2 linked regions of the Rattus norvegicus genome follow. Each later gene encodes a partner of the first gene's protein in a complex. Links are inferred from orthologs where the notes say so. Each region holds a gene or a part of one and is shown in the gene's direction. Other genes may lie near its edges.

Evidence for each region. Proteins that work in one complex are often made in the same cells at the same time.
Region 2: Taf6 (region 1) and Taf12 share a complex: the UniProt entries of both Homo sapiens proteins name them as parts of the TFIID basal transcription factor complex. The link is inferred for Rattus norvegicus from reciprocal best matches to the Homo sapiens genes TAF6 and TAF12.

What each region holds. Positions count from the first base shown.
Region 1 is NC_086030.1:22,167,614-22,173,097, reverse strand, and holds the end of Taf6 (transcription initiation factor TFIID subunit 6), read left to right. Parts: intron 1-92; coding exon 93-275; intron 276-988; coding exon 989-1,063; intron 1,064-1,162; coding exon 1,163-1,288; intron 1,289-1,363; exon of another isoform or gene 1,364-2,245; coding exon 2,246-2,419; exon of another isoform or gene 2,420-2,542; coding exon 2,543-2,740; exon of another isoform or gene 2,741-2,998; coding exon of another isoform or gene 2,999-3,185; coding exon 3,186-3,473; 3' UTR 3,474-3,528; downstream 3,529-5,484. Other genes in the region: Ap4m1 (AP-4 complex subunit mu-1), read right to left, coding at 3,655-3,879, 3,962-4,073, 4,170-4,220, 4,932-4,976, 5,210-5,304, 5,403-5,484. UniProt on the Homo sapiens protein: The TFIID basal transcription factor complex plays a major role in the initiation of RNA polymerase II (Pol II)-dependent transcription.
Region 2 is NC_086023.1:149,765,571-149,770,824, forward strand, and holds part of Taf12 (transcription initiation factor TFIID subunit 12), read left to right. Parts: intron 1-1,494; coding exon 1,495-1,572; intron 1,573-2,019; coding exon 2,020-2,134; intron 2,135-4,571; coding exon 4,572-4,660; intron 4,661-5,254. UniProt on the Homo sapiens protein: The TFIID basal transcription factor complex plays a major role in the initiation of RNA polymerase II (Pol II)-dependent transcription.

The sequences.
Region 1 (5,484 bases):
CTACTTTCCCTTCTAGGGTCAGGGCTCTTCTGCCAGCCTCACCACAGGAGGTCTGCTATCAGAACCGGCTGACAGGGCCTGCTCTCTCTCAGGTGCACGAGCTGATTCCTGCAGTAATGACCTGCATTGTGAGCAGACAGCTGTGCCTGCGGCCAGATGTGGACAATCACTGGGCACTCCGGGATTTTGCTGCCCGTCTAGTGGCCCAGATCTGTAAGCATTTCAGCACAACCACCAACAACATCCAATCCCGAATCACCAAGACCTTTACCAAGGTAAGCACCAAAAATGTATCAGATGATGCAAATCACCCCTTTAGGGCTATCTGTGTGAAAGAGAGCTTCACCCAGTGGAAACGATCCCCGGAACATGGAGCAGAGACGGGATCCAGGGAGACTGGCCCTAAGGGGCCTGAACCTTTATGTCTTAAGACATAGGTTTTGTGTTTAATAGGTGGTATCAATCTTTTGCAGTTAGGGTTTTTTCCTCCTTTTTCCAGATTTATTTATTTATTTGAGTCAGAGTTTCTCTGTGTAGTCCTGCTGTAAGCCAGGCTTGGCTTTGAACTCAGAGACTCACCTGCCTGCCTGCCTGCCTACCTACCTTCTGTGAGTGGTGGGATTAAAGGCATGTGTCACCACTGCCTGGCAGCCTTCTCTGTTTTGAAACAGTGTGTCATGTGCCAAGGATAGCTTTTTTATGTGAGTACACTGTAGCTGTCTTCAGACACACCAGAAGAGGGCATCAGATCCCATTACAGATGGTTGTGAGCCACCATGTGGTTGCTAGGAATTGAACCCAAGACCTCTGGAAGAGCAGTCTGTGCTTTTAACCACTGAGCCAATCTCCAGCCTGAGGATGGTTTTAAACTTCCGATCTTCCTATCTTTACCTCCTGTGTGCCAGGATCAGTCATGTACCACCAGGCCTGGTTTAGCTGTTAGCCTTTCTAAACCTTTTCATCTGGGATTTTCTTCTTTCCTCTACAGAGCTGGGTGGATGAGAAGACTCCATGGACAACTCGATATGGCTCCATTGCAGGCCTGGCAGAGCTGGGGCATGATGTTAGTCTAGGAAGAGCCGGGAGAGGGGCAGTTACACGTGCTGTGGGAGGGGCCTTTGGTGACCTTTTAGCCTGGGATTTTCCCCTTCCTTCCCACCAGGTGATTAAGACCCTAATTCTGCCAAGGCTGCAGCAGGAAGGGGAGCGGATCCGAAGTGTCTTGGACGGACCTGTTCTGAGCAACATCGACCGTATCGGAGCAGACCATGTTCAGAGCCTTCTCCTGGTGACGAACCCCCACCATACCCTCTCCTTCTTCACCCCAGCCCCGCCCTCAGCTCCCACAAACACGGCTACAATGTTTAGCAAGCACGAAGCACATTTTACTTTTATTCTTGAGAGGCCGGCACTGTTGTGCACATGGAAAGCTAGGCTCAAACAGAAAGCCTTGGTAGTCAGTAACTTTTGCACTGCACTGCCTCATCCTGCTTGTCTCACCCTACAGCTCCCGCCACACAAGGCAATGATCACTATATATATCATCAGCAGATACAGGAAATCCTGTTCATATCAGTTGATCCTTATGGAAGGAAATAGTCTTAATTTTCAATGTGTTGACTCCTATAGATGTGATCTTGCTGTATAGCCTTGACTAGTGTAGAACTTGTGCACCATGCTGACCTTGTGGCAATCCTGTTCCCTCTCTTCTGAGTGCAGAGATTACAGGAATGCACCGCCATATCCACTGAAATCATTCCTTTTTATTTGTAAAACATTGTTTTGTATGTGTAAGAATGTGCACCATGGTTACAGGTGCCCACAGAAGCCAGAGGAAGGTGACAGATCTCCTGGAGTCCTAGAGGGTAGTGAACAACTGCCCTCTGAGCGGACACTCTACACCTCTGCTCCCTCTCCAGTCCTCCCCAACCCCCATTCTTTTTGTTTTTCTGCTGGGAATTGGACCTAGGGCCACATGCATGCTTGCACAGCATTCTACCAATGAGCTGTATTCTCCTTGGCCCTCACTTTTGAGATATGCCACCTGCTCAGGCTAGCCTAGAACCCACTGATCTTCCTGCTTCAGCTCAAATGCTAGACCTACAAGCATGAACCACCACACCCAGCTCTGATGCATTCCCTGTAGAACCATAGCTTTTCACTGTGGCTTCTAACAGCAGCAGTGAATGAGCTCCTCTCTCACCTTTGCGGAAGGATTCCAGCCCTCACTCTGCCTCCTCTGCAGAAACACTGTGCCCCAGTATTGGCGAAGCTGCGCCCTCCACCTGACAATCAGGATGCCTACCGGGGAGAATTTGGGTCCCTTGGGCCCCTTCTCTGCTCCCATGTGGTGAAGGCCAGGGCCCAGGCCGCTCTTCAAGCTCAGCAGGTCAACAGGACCACACTCACCATCACACAGGTCAGCTGTGAGGGAGGAGGCTGACAGGAAACATACAGGGACTTGCCACAGACAGCAGTCTCAGGGAACTGGACCCCACTCCTACCCCCAGTGTTAACATTTTCTTCCTGTGTCTCTTCATAGCCTCGGCCCACACTGACCCTCTCACAGGCCCCTCAGCCAGGCCCTCGTACCCCTGGCTTATTGAAGGTCCCTGGCTCTATTGCCTTGCCTGTCCAGACACTGGTGTCTGCAAGAGCTGCTGCCCCTCCTCAGCCTTCTCCTCCTCCAACGAAGTTTATTGTAATGTCCTCATCTTCCAGTGCCTCATCAACCCAGCAGGTATGTATAGCCAGGATGTGAGGAGCACCCTGGGGAAACCTCCAAGTTGTGACCTAATCCTTTCAGGCTCAAACTCATACCGTACTAGAGCCACTTATCAGGATCTTGGAGGCCTCGAGCTAGCAGCAATCTTGACCATGCATTCACTGGGGACTACAAGGGAAGGTGGGAGCAGAGGGCAAGGGCCAACAGCAGGTACCTGGAAGAAGATTCTAGAAGCAAGGACAACCTGACCCAAGGCCCCCCTTTCTCCCTCAGGTCCTGTCCCTCAGCACCTCAGCTCCTGGTTCAGGCTCTACCACTACCTCTCCTGTCACCACCACAGTTCCCAGCGTGCAGCCCATTGTCAAGCTGGTCTCCACTGCTACCACTGCACCCCCAAGCACAGCCCCTGCTGGTCCTGGCAGTGTTCAGAAATACATTGTGGTCTCTCTTCCCCCAACAGGGGAAGGCAAAGGAGGCCCTCCTTCTCATCCTTCTCCAGTCCCACCTTCATCTTCTTCACCATCTCCACTTGGGGGCAGTGCCCTCTGTGGGGGGAAGCAGGAAACTGGGGACAGCCCCCCTCCAGCTCCAGGGACTCCAAAGGCTAATGGCTCCCAGCCTACTGGACCTAGCTCTCCCCAGCCTGCTCTGTGATATTGTCACATGTGCTGACCTCCTCTCTTCTGCAGATTCCTACACACACAAACAACGTGTGAGGGAGGAAGAAGAAAGATGTTTTCCCCAGTGACTTTCTTTTTAGATTCTGTACAGTAAGTTCCTCAGAATAAAAGTTGGATTTGTAACTTTGTGAGCCTCCCTGTGTCACAAAACAGAAGGGGTGAGTCTGTGGAACCTTCCTGTCCAGATCCAAAGTCACAAGAAAGAAAATGCCTGCTGACATTGCTGTCCATATCCTTCTTTGAGGAGATTCAAATCCGAATTACGTAGGCGTTGCTGTGGCTTAGATGTCGAACCCACTTGTGAGGGTTAGCATTACCACAGGCGCTAAAGGACAGTCTGAGGAATCGAACCTGGAGGCCAGAGCATGTGTGCCGAGGGAGTTCAAAGGAGAGGCTGGCAGGACCCAGCCCCAAGGGGGGTGCTGAGGGGGACGGCCCACGGCTGGGAGGTCCCTGCAAGCCAGGGACATCCATCTGTAAGTGAAAGTCAAGGAAGATGTGAGACAGCAGGAGGACTGGGTTCTAGAGAAGGTGTGTGGGGATCAACAGTGCATACCTGGAAAAGGCCAGAGAGTTGAGAACCTCCTTGTACCCGGGGCAGGTCCCAGTGAAGGGCTCCTTCTCCCAGCTCTGCCTTCTGATCTGGGCTGCTCAGTTCCTGAGACAGGCTGGATGGTGGACAGGGAATATGCTAAACTAAGTGGCTGCTTCCTTGGTAGAGCAGAGGCTCTACCCCAGGGAGTCTTCCCAGCAAGCATGCTGACCTGACGACCCCTCGAGGCAGGGGAAGGTGCAGATGAATGTTGAGAGCTTGGCTGCAAAGAGGAAAGAACAGTCAAGCCCAGGGGGCAGTGTCTTACCCTGGGCCTTTCTGTTTGTACTGCTCTTGAGACAGTCAAACAGCTGAGGATGACTTTGAACCTGATTCTCCTGCCTCTGCTTCCTCCAGGCCTAGGGTTACAGGTGTGCACAACCACATTGTTTACGTGGCTGAGGATCAAAGGCAGGGCTCAGTGCTAAGCAAACACTGCACACTGGTCTATACCCCAGCCCCTTCTCTGTTCCTCCATAAGAGAGTGCAGCACAGATACATCCCCGCCTCTAACCCTTCCTTCCCCAAATACCACAACCTCTGACTCAATGAAATTTAAAATTGGTGGATGTGACTGGGTGTTTTGAGATGGGCGTCTCACTGTGAAGCCCAGACTGGTTTCACAACTGGGGAACCTTCTGTTTCAGGCTGCTGGGCTTATAGCTGCACACTGCACACTACAAAGCTTTAGTGAACCTGCCTGGAGGAAAAATTATCAGGTCCTTGGGCCTGTTTTCTGCCCCATACAGCTGAACTGAGTGTGACTAGCCCACATTCATTTTTGTGTTTTGCTTTCTGAGTATGAAGCCCAACCTGGCCTCCCAACTTCCTATGTATTTGAGGTTGGTCCTGGTCTCCTGAACCTTCTATCTCCCAAGGGCTGGGATTATAGGAATATGCCACCATACCCAACTTGACCAGCCCCAACCCTTACCTCTTTGGGGGCAGGTCACACCGTAACTTCAGGTAAACCTGGAGCCTGGAAAAGGTAGCATACAATTACATCATATCCTATTGGCATCCCATGACTGCTAATCCAGGGCACCCATGGGAGGAGACTGGGTAAATTGTACCCCAAGAAGGAAAAGGGCAGAGATCCATCCCAACCACATTAGCCAATACTTTCCCCAACCCACATCCTATCATCTCTACCACGAATAGGCCTCAGATGGCTTGGAGTAGTTAGTTCTAAAACACAGGAAATAGTCTCACCGGCCTGAGCCTTGGTCCCATTGTACAGAGGGAAACAGCCGGAAGGGAAGTGGTGAGGGGAGGTCATCAGAGAGCTGGTATCTCATCACAGTCAGCTGAGGCCAGACAGGGACAGGTCAGCTTGGTCTTTCATTGGTCTTGCCTCCCTCCCCTTGGTGGAGGGAATACACTGGGAACACACCCTGAACCTGACCTCGCCCTGAGGCGGCTGCAGGTGGAGGATCCGATGAGATTCAAACTCATCTAGATTGACAGAGCTATGGAATGACACCTCA
Region 2 (5,254 bases), on another chromosome or scaffold:
CCTGTGACCCTGATTCCACCTTCTAGGGCAACAAGAAAAGAAGTATAACCTTTGCCTTGGATCTTGTAGGCTGCATAGGGTGGGTGAGGAGCGATTCAAGGAAGTGGGTCGAAGGACTAGCTGAGCTGCTTGGGAAAGGAGCAGAAACCAACCTGCGTTGACTCTTGAAGCCGCTGGAAAAGAGCGAGAGAGAGAAAGTGGGTGTGGTGGTCACGCCTGTGATCCCAGCACTTGGGAGGTGGGAGGAGGGAAGTCGGTCATTCCTCATCCTCTACTACAAAGCAAGTCAGGACCCTGTCTCAAAGACACAGAGGGCCACCAAGATGGCTCAGCCAGTAAAGACCCATGCTGCCAAGCTTCATACTCAGAGTTCAGTCTCTAAATCTATGGTGGAAGGAGAGATCCTAGTTCCTCAAATTATCCTCTTCTACATATGCATTGTGGCACGTGCAAACACAACATACCCCTAAATTACGGTAAAGAGAAGCCTTTAATCCTAGCACTCAGGAGGCAGAGCCAAGCAGATCCCAGTCGAAGGCCAGCCTGGTCTACAGAGTGAGCCCCAGGACAACCAGAGCTGCATTGTGGGAGCAGTGCAGTTCTCATAGAGGGGCGGGCAGACTGTTTGTTGCGTTTTGTTGTTTGTTTCTATTCCTGATGCTGGGATCTACAGCAGGATCAAGTCAGACAAGCAGTGTATGACCAAGCTGAGTCTTGAGCTTCCTCGTCATGTTTTAATGTAATCCAGATGCGATTGCCTTTCCGCGGAGAAGAGGGAGATTAACTGTAGCTGCTCCACATTACTTAGGTTACAGAGATGGCCACACACTGGTTGTCCTCATGGAACTGTTAGATTTTTCTTTTTCATTTTCTTTTCTTCTCTTTTCTGTTTCTCGCGCGCGCGCGCGTGTGTGTGTGTGTGTGTGTGTGTGTGTGTGTGTGTGTGTGTGTGTGTGTGTAAGTTTGTTTTGAGACAATGTTTCTTTGTGTAGCCAGAGCTGTCCTGGAATTCACTTTGTAGGGCAGGATGGCTCAAACTTAGGTGTCTGCCTGCCTCCACCTACCTGGTGCTGGAATTAAAGATCTGTGCTGGGGCTGGGGATTTAGCTCAGTGGTAGAGCACTTGCCTAGCAAGCACAAGGCCCTGGGTTCGGTCCTCAGCTCTGGAAAAAAAAAAAAAAAGATCTGTGCCACCCACCACACCCAGCTCGAACTGTTAGCCAGATGCAGAGAAGAGGGTGAAAGCTGGAACTGCATAAACTGCCCGACAGTGGGACGCGGGCCTCCGCTTTAAACGATTCCCCTCTCCCTCCAAACCGCTCTTGCTCTCTTTCCCATGACAGCTTTTGTCTGGATTGTACCTTTATAGCTGTACCACAAGGTAGGGCTGTCTGAACGAGACTAAACCCAGCAATTTGACATCATGTCTTCTGTAGCCATAATGAGATTTGCTTCCTTAATACTTCTGAAAACTCTCTCCTCAATTCACTATAGGTATTGACCAAGAAGAAGTTACAAGACCTAGTAAGAGAAGTGGATCCTAACGAGCAGCTGGATGAAGATGTGGAAGAGGTAAGGTGGACTCGGGCACCTGTCCCTGCGGTTGAGGCATCGTGGTGAGTTGGAGCAGAGATGCTGGGTCTGGGAAATGGCTCAGCAGTTAAGAGCATTTACTGAACCTTACAAACTGCCTTAACACCACCTGCAAATAATCTAGTGCCCTCTTCTGGCTTCCTGGGGCATCCTCACACATGGGGCATATGCGTACACCTACATGGATGAATAGAAAATAAAAATATGGGGCTGGGGGTTGGGGATTTAGCTCAGTGGTAGAGCGCTTGCCTAGGAAGCGCAAGGCCCTGGGTTCGATCCCCAGCTCCGAAAAAAAGAAAAAAGAAAAAGAAAAACAAAAGAAAGAAAGAAAGCAAATCTTGCCAAATGAGACTCAGAAAGCACACCGCTGTCCCAGCAGCAGGCGCCTGCCCTGCCACTGGCTTATCTCCCATTCCACCTCTCCAGATGCTGCTGCAGATCGCTGATGATTTTATCGAGAGTGTGGTGACAGCTGCCTGCCAGCTCGCTCGGCACCGCAAGTCCAGCACCCTGGAGGTGAAAGATGTCCAGCTGCATCTAGGTATGTTGTTTCCTTTCTCCCTGAAGTAGCCTCATAACTCGTTGGTAGGACCTCTGACAAATGTCAGAGAAACCTTCATGCCACAACCAGACCTTTAGGTCTGGAATTTACCATTCAGCACCTTCTGAATAGAAGAGAGAAAGGCCTTTATGGAAGGGGGATACCCCAGGACATCAGATTTAAAACATCCCTCCACTTTCCATTGCACAACAACCTTTGTGCTTGATTTCTGAGTCTGTCTCCCTTTTCAGAAAGTGAGGATCATAATGTCTCACTTGAAGGTAATTATGAGAACTACTGATTATATTGATGAACTGGAAAAAAATGGGCATATTCTACAACTGAACACAATAACTCTCATCATATGTATGTGCATCAGATGTAACATACAATCATAAAGTCATTAAATTTCTGTTTAAGGGCCAAGGAGATGGCTCAGTGGGTAAGAGCCCTTGCCGTGGATGCGTGATGACCTCCATGCACCCACATAATAAGTCAGGGCTGTGCATTCCTGTATTCAAAGCCCTAGGAAGTCGGGATGTGCAGAAGGGCTTCTGGGCTGCTGGCGACCAGCCTGTCTGGAAAACTATGTGCTTCTGGTTCAGTGACAGATCCTGTCTCAGAAAAAGGTGCGCAGTTAGAGAGGAAGGCACCAGCTGTCCTCTAACCCCCAGGCACACAGGAGCATGTGCACTTGTGCGCGCGTGCACACACACACACACATACACACACACATACACACACACGCATATATAATACAACCCCAGTTTGATTTAAGTCATTGGTCTGTCTAGAGTTACAAGACAAACCGTGTCTCCTATGCTCTGGGAACACTAATGGAGGAATGATAAAGGGGCCACTTGTATACAACTAGGGGCAAGTTAGGAGCTGAATTTTTAGGCCTGTAATATTGTATTCAATGTATTTTTTTGATTTAAAGAAATCTCCGGGGTTGGGGATTTAGCTCAGTGGTAGAGCGCTTGCCTAGCAAGTGCAAGGCCCCGGGTTCGGTCCCTAGCTCCGGAAAAAAAAAAAAAAAAAGAAATCTCATGTTGTAATTAAATATGAAAATAGGGTAAAAATATAGAAAGGAACAGTGGTGTCTAGGTAAACCCTTCTGAGTGGAACTTTTCTCTCGAAGTGTGTTTGTACACTTTTTCTTTTTTTTTCTTTTTTTTTTTTTTTTTTTTTTTGGTTCTTTTTTTCGGAGCTGGGGACCGAACCCAGGGCCTTGTGCTTCCTAGGTAAGCGCTCTACCACTGAGCTAAATCCCCAACCCCTTTTGTACACTTTTTTAAAAGAAAGTGTCACCTCCCTAGACAGCTAGGGCATGTTACAAAGAGAAACCTTGTCTTGAAAAACAAAAAAAGAAAGAAAGAAAGGATCATTTTGGCCTGGAACTCACATAGACCCATCCGCCTCTGCCTCTGCCTCTGCCTCTGCCTCTGCCTCTGCCTCTGCCTCTGCCTCTGCCTCTGCCTCTGCCTCCGCCTCCGCCCCCGCCCCCGCCCCCGCCCCCGCCCCCGCCCCCGCCCCCGCCCCGCCCCCGCCTCCGCCTCCGCCTCCGCCTCTGCCTCCTTACTGCTGGAACTAAAATCATTTGTCACCATGCCTAGCCAAAAATAAAATAAATAAAAACATAATAAAGATTTAAAAACATAAGAAGTAAGATAGGCAGTAGCCAGCATAGCATCATCATCCCAGCACTTACGCAGCTAGTACAGGCAGGGAGGTCACTGTGCGCTCAGGTCATGTTAATCTTTGCCTCCGCAATATAAAAATGGGGGCTGGACAGATGGCTCAGTGGTTAAGAGCACTGACTGCTCTTCCAGAGGTCCTGAGTTCAATTCCCAGCAACCACATGGTGGCTCACAACCATCTGTAATGAGATCTGATGCCCTCTTCTGGTGTGTCTGAAGATGGGTTTAGTGTTCTCATATATTAAAAAACAAATTAAAAAATAAAAATAAAAGCTAGAGAGATGGCTCAGTGGTTAAGAATACTTGATGTTGGGGTTGGGGATTTAGCTCAGTGGTAGAGCGCTTGCCTAGGAAGCACAAGGCCCTGGGTTTGGTCCCCAGCTCCGAAAAAAAGAAGAAAAAAAAAAAAAAAAGAATACTTGATGTTTTTCCTGAGGACTCAAGTTTGATTCCCAGCATCCACATGGTGGCTCCTAACTGTCTTTAACTCCAGATCCGGGGAATCTAGCGCCCTCTTTTGGCTTCTTTGGGGACAAGCTTGCACACCATACACATCCATACATGCAGATGAAACACATAACTCCATGCGTGTGTAGTAAACCCAGTGTTAACAGCAGTGAAGAGGCCTGCAGAGGCCACGTGTGTATAACCCAGTCCAAGTCTGTCTTTGCTGCTTGCTGCAGCTTCACTGCCCGTCTGGCTGGGGCCTCAGCTCTGTGCTGGTGTCTTCTTTGCAGAGCGCCAATGGAACATGTGGATCCCAGGATTTGGCTCTGAGGAGATCCGGCCCTACAAAAAAGCTTGTACCACAGAAGCTCACAAACAGGTAAGGAGCCTGGGGCAGCCAGGACTGGCCCCTAGAACTGCATCTCAGGGAGTACAACCAGCTGCCTGCTGGGTGTCAGTCCCCTACATAGCCAGCTTCGCTGCACCAGAGGTCAGAGGTCAGGGACGCTCCATCAGAGGTGCCCTGATGCCGTGCTGCTGTGCGTGCCTTTCAGTTTCCATTTAGAGCTCTTGACTCCAGATCCCTGCGGGCGTGTCCACTGCTCTCACTGAGAACTGGCTTGAATAGCACCCACCACCCGGTCAGAGGAAGGAGTTGGGTTATGTCAGGCCTGTGCTGAGCCACCCTGGCTCTTCTGCCCGACATTCTGGGTTATGTCAGGCCTGTGCTGAGCCACCCTGGCTCTTCTGCCCGACATTCTGGGTTATGTCAGGCCTGTGCTGAGCCACCCTGGCTCTTCTGCCCGACATTCTGGGTTATGTCAGGCCTGTGCTGAGCCACCCTGGCTCTTCTGCCCGACATTCTGGGTTATGTCAGGCCTGTGCTGAGCCACCCTGGCTCTTCTGCCCGACATTCTGGGTTATGTATGTTCCACGTTAGCAGCTGTCCTCTGCCCTCCCCGACACTGAGAGG